Linked DNA regions of Coturnix japonica. The protein of the gene in region 2 interacts with the protein of the main gene of each other region in a biochemical or structural test. Links are inferred from orthologs where the notes say so. Each region holds a gene or a part of one and is shown on either strand. Other genes may lie near its edges.

Evidence for each region. The genes of interacting proteins can lie anywhere in the genome.
Region 1: the proteins of ATP7B (region 2) and ATOX1 form a complex in vitro, tested with the Homo sapiens proteins (3 studies listed by BioGRID and IntAct). The link is inferred for Coturnix japonica from reciprocal best matches to the Homo sapiens genes ATP7B and ATOX1.

The regions. Positions count from the first base shown.
Region 1 is NC_029528.1:5,158,801-5,163,146, forward strand, and holds the start of ATOX1 (copper transport protein ATOX1), read right to left. Parts: upstream 2,843-4,346; 5' UTR 2,717-2,842; coding exon 2,711-2,716; intron 2,008-2,710; coding exon 1,932-2,007; intron 623-1,931; coding exon 489-622; 3' UTR 470-488; intron 1-469. UniProt on the Homo sapiens protein: Binds and deliver cytosolic copper to the copper ATPase proteins. May be important in cellular antioxidant defense.
Region 2 is NC_029516.1:152,322,794-152,326,388, reverse strand, and holds part of ATP7B (copper-transporting ATPase 2), read left to right. Parts: intron 1-1,079; coding exon 1,080-1,316; intron 1,317-2,605; coding exon 2,606-2,769; intron 2,770-3,595. UniProt on the Homo sapiens protein: Copper ion transmembrane transporter involved in the export of copper out of the cells. It is involved in copper homeostasis in the liver, where it ensures the efflux of copper from hepatocytes into the bile in response to copper overload.

The DNA.
Region 1 (4,346 bases), on a different chromosome or scaffold from region 2:
AACCCCCTGCAGCACCTACTCACAGGTGTCCATCCGTTTCATCACTGTCCCTAGCATTTTTGGTCACTCTCCCTGGTCATTTCACTAATGTCTTTGGGGTTTGTTTTCATTCATGATATGCTCTGGCAAACTCCAGGTTCACCTGGTAATTGCACAGAGGCTGCGTTCTACCTCTCCATGCAATTAGACCATACAAGTATCAGCCAAAACTTCTCAAATTATCAGATGCCATAGTTCTCTTTTGGCTGCAGATACTACAGCTATAGTTGGGTTCCTATGGGCTTTGCAGAGCAGCTAAGGAGTCCCATGCAGAAGGTGCTGGCTGCATGTGCTTCTCTGATATGAGGGGATTGCTGAAGCTGGACCTACAAGTCTCCCCTCCTTTGTGCTTTACATGAAACAGACTGGTTTACTGAGAGAGCTGGAACAAGCTCAGATCTCTTCAGTGTTTCATACACCTAATATATACCTAGCCTCCTCACAGCAGGCTACTGCACTGTCTTCTCCCCCAGGTAGGATGCGCTCTTTCCAGTCTTCTTTAGGGTTTCCAATAGGGTGTCAACATTGTGCTCTGACTCAATGTACACCTTCTTGTTGGGCAGGTCAATATCAAACTGGACACCTGGAAGGAAAGGAAAAACACTTAGTTAGAAGCAATCAAATGGTATAAAAGCAGGGAAAATGTCACTTTCATGCATTTGTGCTCTCACAGTGTCACCAAGTGAATTGTACATGCCTCTTGTCAGCAAACTTCTGTTCTGTGACCAGCACAACCAGAGCAGGATCCCACCAGCATTGGTATAAAGGAATCCAGATTGCCTATATATGTACATTAGGCACCATAGGTTTATTATGGGAGCTTTATTAGACTAGCACAATCACAAGCATTAATGAGAATTAGCAGAGTTTAAACCAACCACTGTAATCTGCAGCCAGCTCACTCTGTGCTGAGGTTTGGCACGAATGAGTACTAATGAAGGAGATGGCATAGAGGTTAAGATGGGGTCAGAGCAGGTTTTATCAGTGGCAGTACCACCTTGCAGCTGTAAGCAGGAGGAAGCTCAAGACACCTTCCATGTGGATATGCCACTGGTAAATAAAGGTCAGCCACTCTAAAGCCAGAGAGAAGAACTCAACGAAGCTTCTACCCAACCATATAATGAAGGTAGGTAATAGCTTTAGCAGCTCTACTGCTCCATCCCATGAGTCTGTATTTGGCCAGCACGTCAAAGAGTGATGGGAGGACAGAGGTGCTGAAAACAACACACAGAGGAACTGGAATCACCACAGCCTGGCAATGGGGTCCTGAAGAATTCTCACAGCCTTCAGCTTGGTGACTGAGAGCTGTTCCCACTTGGTGAGGATGGGTAAGCAGGATCAAAAGTCCTCATAACTGGTGAGTGCAGGCCAGATCCTGCTCTCTTGCTGCTCTCAGCACAGAGGAGACACAAGTTATAATTTTCCAGGTTGAACAAAAAACAGGCTGTGCAAGCAACCACCAAACCCTCTGCTCAGCAGCTCTTCACCATGACTGTTCTGCATTTGGATGCTGATGACACATCCAGAGAAGCACTGCAGCTACCAGTGGCCTGGCAGGAGATCCACCTTCTCTTCTTCTTCCCAGCCATCCTGAGCAGGGGGGTGCAGCTCCTGGCAGGTTCAGGATGAGGCCCTGGTGGTGCACAAAGCCACCTGATGCCTGAAGCCTCCTGCATCCCCAGCACTTTATCCTTCCCGTGTTTCTTCTCCAAGGGTTACGCCAGCCCTGCTAGCAATCAGCTACCAGCAGCTCAAAGCAGAGTGATAAGGTGCAGAGGTTTCCACTCAGACACTTCCTGCTGTTACCCACATTGCTTCCTGCTCAAAACAGAGGACCCTGGGGCAGTGACATCTGGCCCCAGAGTCATAATACACCCTGTAGCTCGACTCACCTCCCAGTCTATGCAGGACACGGGTGACTGCATTGGAGCAGCCTTCGCAGGTCATGTCCACAAAGAACTCGTGTTTCTGCAAGAAGACAGATGAGGGTTCAGCAGCATTCACCACCACCTGGAGGGTCCTCTGGAGGCTGCCTGCTCCAACCATGCACTGGAATCAGGACACCTCCAGGGCCAGCACAGCTCTCAGGGGGTTCTCCTGGCCCTGCTAGGCAGGGGGGTTGGAACTACATGATCCTTGAGGTCCCTTCCAACCCGGGTCATTCTGTGATTCTGTGATTCTCCTGGACCCATTGTATGCACAGCCCAGGAGGAGCAAGCCTGCTGCTTTGCTCTGCAATGCCTATCCTATCATATATCATATCATCATGCCCCAAACTCATAAAAACATCATGAAAATAAGCTTGAGGACCACTACCCGCAGTACTCACAGTGCACACATGCGTGGCCCTAAGGCTATCCACTGTGCTCAGCCTTCTGTACGGGACAGGCCCTATCTCCTTCACCTGATATCCTTAAACAAGAAAATCAATGCTGCTCCCTGTCTCCCACCCTCAACCCCTCCATCTTTTTACTCCAAACCACCTTTAACCCCCCACTATCATCACAGCGCGGATCAGTGCGGAACTGAGCAAAACCAAAGCGCTCAGCATCACCATTTATCACCATTCCTATGCGGAACTGGCATTTCCTTCATGTTCTGACAAGCTCAAGGTGGTTCCATCCCCCGGCCCTTCGCTGTCCCCCCCGCCGCCCTCCCGTCCCGCACCCACCGGCATGGCGTGGCTCCGGCTCCCGGTTCCCGGCTCGGAGGAAGGGGCGGCGCTGAGCTCAGCTCCGCACAGCGCCCCCGGGGCCCGAGGAGGCTCGGTAGGGTACGAGCTGCCCGTGAAGCTTCAATGTTCGGCTCTTAGTGAGACAAGTCATTTGCTGCGGGTGTTTGGGGGCTTTTTGGTGTGGTCTTAAGGCTGAGCAAAGCTGTTTGAATGGCCTTTTAGGGACGATGTATGTTTTAGGATGTTTTTGTTCTGAGAACAGCCCCTTGGTTATGTTGCTCTTCCCGTTTTCCTGATCGGTGAGGCTGAATGGCAGCTCTATGGGTCACAGCAAAGCAGGATTAGGGCTGAAGGCCTTTGCTCTGCTCACCCAGGGGGATGCCAACTGAGAGCCCATAGACATTCATTGTGCTGCACACAGGACCTGGCTGCTGTGCTGCTCTATCACAACGTGAGCTCCCTTTCCTCCCAATGCCGCCGTGGTCCCAGCAGTGGTTATTTGAGCTGTGGGTCACTGCTCTGACGTTGAGCCCCACAGCTGTGATTGATGCGCTGGCAGATTGTGCTGCAGCCCTATAAATAGCCGGGCACACAGGGAGGGGGGTGGGCAGGGCTGGGATGTGGTGGTGGGGAGGGACTCAGTCTGAGACAGTCCAATATATCTGATAGTGCTTCATGTCATAGATATGATGGGATACAAACACAGCCTGCTCAGCCAGCTACCTGCTGCTCCTCCATCCTGCTGTCCTCAGCATCCACACCTGCACTATGTGTTGTTCAGATGAGGCTCAGGGGGTCAGAGGCGACCTAGTGAGGCCCATTGGAGATCTCGCAGCCTGCTCTTAGTGATAACCAATGCCCGTCCCAGCGCTGCCCCCCAGCAGGGGGTGGTACGGGGCACTCAATGCCGCCCCTCGTGCGGGGTGACTGTCCCTTTAAGGCCCTGCCTGTCCATCATAGCCCGTCGCGCCCTCCCATTGGATAGGATTGGATAGGTCCCGCCCCCATCTCTAACGGGGTTTACCAGCACCTTCTCAAGGGCGCTGCTGTGCGCTTCAACCACACTACGGCGTCACGCCTGCCCCGCCTTTCGCGCCTGGTCTCGCGGTCAGCGTCGTCCTATTGGCTACCGTTAGGTCTAGCCCCGCCTCAGCACCGAGAGCTTCGCCTCCTATTGGTTCGGATCGCTGTCTGTCAATCTCCCCGCTCCGCGCAGCCAGGCCGCGTGGTTGATAGAGTGAGCTGCCATTCATTTATCATCCCGCCTCCTTTCCCCTCTCCGAACCAATCAGCGTCCGAATGAAGGAGAGCGGCGCTGTGTGATTGGTGGAGCAGCCTCCCGCCGGGTTAGGCTGCGCGCCGGATATATGTAGCCGGCGGCAGAGCACGCCGTTGCGTGAGGTGCTTGTCGTCCGCCGGGCAGGCCTGTGCTCCTGCGACGCCTCCCGCTGCCGTCCCGCTCCGCCCGCAGGTGAGGGGGGCAGGGCCGGGCTGGGAGCGGGGCCGCGGCCTCGTGGGGATGGCGGAGGGCTGCGTGCACCGGGGCGATCCCATTTCCATCCCCCTCAGCGCTGCCCCCTATCCCCGGGGTAGGCCGAGGCCTGGAGGGGGGGGATGGGGTTGGGGTTGGGGA
Region 2 (3,595 bases):
TGTGGGTAGCATGTCAAAAGGCTTGGAAGTTGGTACAGTGTCTTTTAAGTGGCAGATGCCCTTACCACCACAGTAGGTTTCCTCCTATGGGCTCCTCCAGCCTCTTACAGGATGCTGTGAGATCTGTCAAATTGACTGTTTTAATTTAAATTCCATAATACTAAAACATACAAACTTAAGCATGTTTCATTTAAAACTAATTTTTTTTCCTGGCTAAAGTCCCTTCTTAGTGTCTGAATCTTTTGTTCTTTATTTCTTGAGAATTTTTGCTAGGGACCTAAGCCTTGCTGTCAACAAGGTGAATGCCAAGACACGCGCGGTCTTTGGCAGCCAACGCTACTTTTACATGTTAAGCTGCAGCACAGTTTGTGGAATTTGTACACGTGCTCAGTGTTGAAGGAGTTGCTATGGTGCATAATCTCCTCTCAAGCAAATTTCAAAAGCAGCAGTATTTATTTGCTCCAGGTCAGAACAAATTTCCTTTAAGATACGGATGTGGTATACCTGGAATGCACTGGTTTAAACCCCAAATACCCGATTGGTTTTTCTCACAGACTTAGAGGTCTGAGTGCTGCAAATCTTTCCACTACTCATTTTACAGTACTTGCATAACGACTGTGCCATAAAGAGAAACCTGTTGAGAAGCTTTTCCTTTCCCTTTTAGGGACCAGGCGCTATGAGCTGTATAGAAGGTAACAAAGACAAGATGAATATGAGGCTGACCTGTACTCTGTGCTGGATAAAGACCCTCTAGATGCCAGTGTATCTTTATTGAGCAGAGGTAGCTGTCAGATTAAGGCAGCTGTCTGATCTAGACACAGATTGGAGGGAGTCACTTGCCATCTGAAAGTGGCAATGAGATATGTAGTTAGGTGGTGATATAAGTAGTGCAGGTGAGCGTGTGTTGTTATTTGCATAGTAACAATCTGTAATTTTCTTCCACCAAGAAACCAAGATTACCATATCATCTTTCAAACAAATAAAAGACTTTGCGTGATCAGTGTAACCTGCTTGTAGTTTTGCATCATCGTATTGCCCTGTAAGTAGTAATTGTTCAGTTTATTGTGCATTTATTCAAGATACTGGTGCAGGAGATCACAAGCAGTGGCCTGATGCCAGCAATGCTGCAGCACAGCCTCGAGCTCCAGAGCCTCCTCGCCAGAGCTGTGTCTCCGATGCACTTCCAGACAGCCCGCACCTTGATGAGCCAAACCAGCCCAGTGGAGCAACAGCCAAGAAGTGCTTTTTACAAATCACTGGCATGACCTGTGCATCGTGTGTGTCTACCATTGAAAGAAATCTGCAGAAAGAAGACGGTAATAAATTCAACATTCCAATAATGAGTTCTGAGGGACTGCTGGTTGGAAAAGGTGTTCTGTATTTGTCAGTGGAAGGGGCCATGGTAGAATATCTTGAGGTTAAATAGACTTAAACTTCTTTTTAGGGCTAATATAACTACATCACTGTTTGTGTAGTGAGTCTACACGATGGACGTAATTGTTTTGTAATAGTAAGTGCTTGGAATATGATCAACATTTCAAATTAGAATGAGAGGTAATGGCCTTAAATTGCACCAGGAGAGATTCAGGTTAGATATCAGGAAAAATGTTGTCAGAAAGAGCAGTGAGGCCCTGGCAGAGGCTGCCCAGGGAGGTGGTAGAGTCACCATCCCTGGACATATTCAAGAACTGTATGAATGTGGCACTGAGGGACATGGTTAGTGGGTATGGTGGGGATGGTTTGATGGTTGAACTAGATTATCTTAATGGTCTACTCCAACCTTAATTATTCCCTGTCTCAAATATATAATAATAAGGCTCAGGACAAGAACAGAAAAGTTGTTCTTATTTTGTTCTCAGGGCCTTGTGTCTTTACAGAGCAATCCATCACTTTCAAAGCTGTTGAGAGCTCTGATAATTGTGGTATGAAGCTTATTCTCCAGCATATGTTTGCACAAGCATGTATAAATAAATGTGTGGCTCCAATCCCTGGGTAATTATATTAGTTTAGGCACAGCAAGTCCTGCCAGGTTAGAAGTCTGCAGACTGGCCATATAGAGCATGAGCAGTCAAGCATCAACACTGCTTTAAAGCACATCAGCTCATCTTAAGTGGGTTTTGCTTATTGATTCCTGTGTCTGCGGTCTCCCAATGCATGGTCTCCATGTGCTGATACAAGTCAATTGATTCGATTGTCAATTTATATTAAAAAAAAATAATAATAAAAAAGAAAGCCCAGTGTCCTGTGGGATTTAGTTAGAGCTTGGCAAACTTAAGAAAGCCAGGGTAGAGCTTGGAGTTAGAAGTGCAGAAATTGCTCATGAACTTCCTTTCTGTCTCTGACCATAGCCTCCATGTTGCAGCTTCTCTTGTTGCTATAGGTGTATAGGTGTATAGGTATAGGAACTTTGGTATGGCTGCATCTCAGTAAAAACTTTGCTGCTCTGACCAGGGAACAACACTAGGAGGAGGCAGAAAAGAGATCACTAGACATAAAATGGCACTAAACTGCTACAGTTTCCACTGAAAATCACATGTGATATTTTATTTTTCTTCCTCACAAACTAAACTGCATTATCTAACATTCTTTATTATTGCTGCTGCAGGTATTGTTTCAGTGTTGGTAGCACTGATGGCAGGTAAAGCAGAGATAAAATACAAGCCAGAGTTCATACAGCCTCTTGAAATAGCACAGTTGATTCAGAATTTGGGTTTTGAAGCCACTGTCATAGAAGATCATTCAGAAACAGAAGGAAATGTGGAGCTTCTTGTAAGTAACGTGTATTTCAAATTGCGTGTTGGTTTTGGATATGGTGGGCTCAGAAGAAGCATTTTCTTGCAAGAGCTTTTGTTTAAGGAGACATGGCCTCAACAGATCAGTTCTGTCTGGTGACACTCATTTTGCTTAATTGCTAGAAAGAGAAAATCATTTTCTCTTAGAAGAACCTGACAAAAGCACTGAAACAAAAAGCAATAGTTATGTGTATGGAATAGACTTCTGTTAGCACGGGGAAATGAAATGGGAAATGATACATCATTGAGCATCTGATGAGAAGGTTATGGGCTTTGTATAGAGGTCTGAGAACACTGGGTGAAATTATTAAATAGTTCATAGCAGGACAGATTCTTTGAAAGTCTGTTTTTCTTCTCTTATGTTTATATACAGTAAGACAGAACACAACAGCCTGCACTTATGCAAACAGATCAGAAAGTGGGAATGTGCCATGCTGAAGCCACCAGGAGATTTGAGTTAGGATGATGATGTTGAACATGCTCACATGTGTATTGACTTTGGCAGTGTTAATAGAGCTGCTGATAGAACTATACAAACTACTCTTGCAGTAAATGCAACGTGCTAGTGCTGCTGTACAAATAAGCTGCAGTGAATAGAACTGTTTGTTGCAGAATTTTACAAGCAGATAGTTATATTTGTTTCCTGTAAGACAACTCTATAAACTTCCTGCTCAGGCCTTGGGTCAGTGCCTGCAGAGTTTGAACAGTCTCTGGTATGTTTGTAACAATACCTCAAATTCTTTAACAAATATTGGGTGAACATTTGGTTCATTAAAAGTGATGACAACAACAAAAAACTTCCT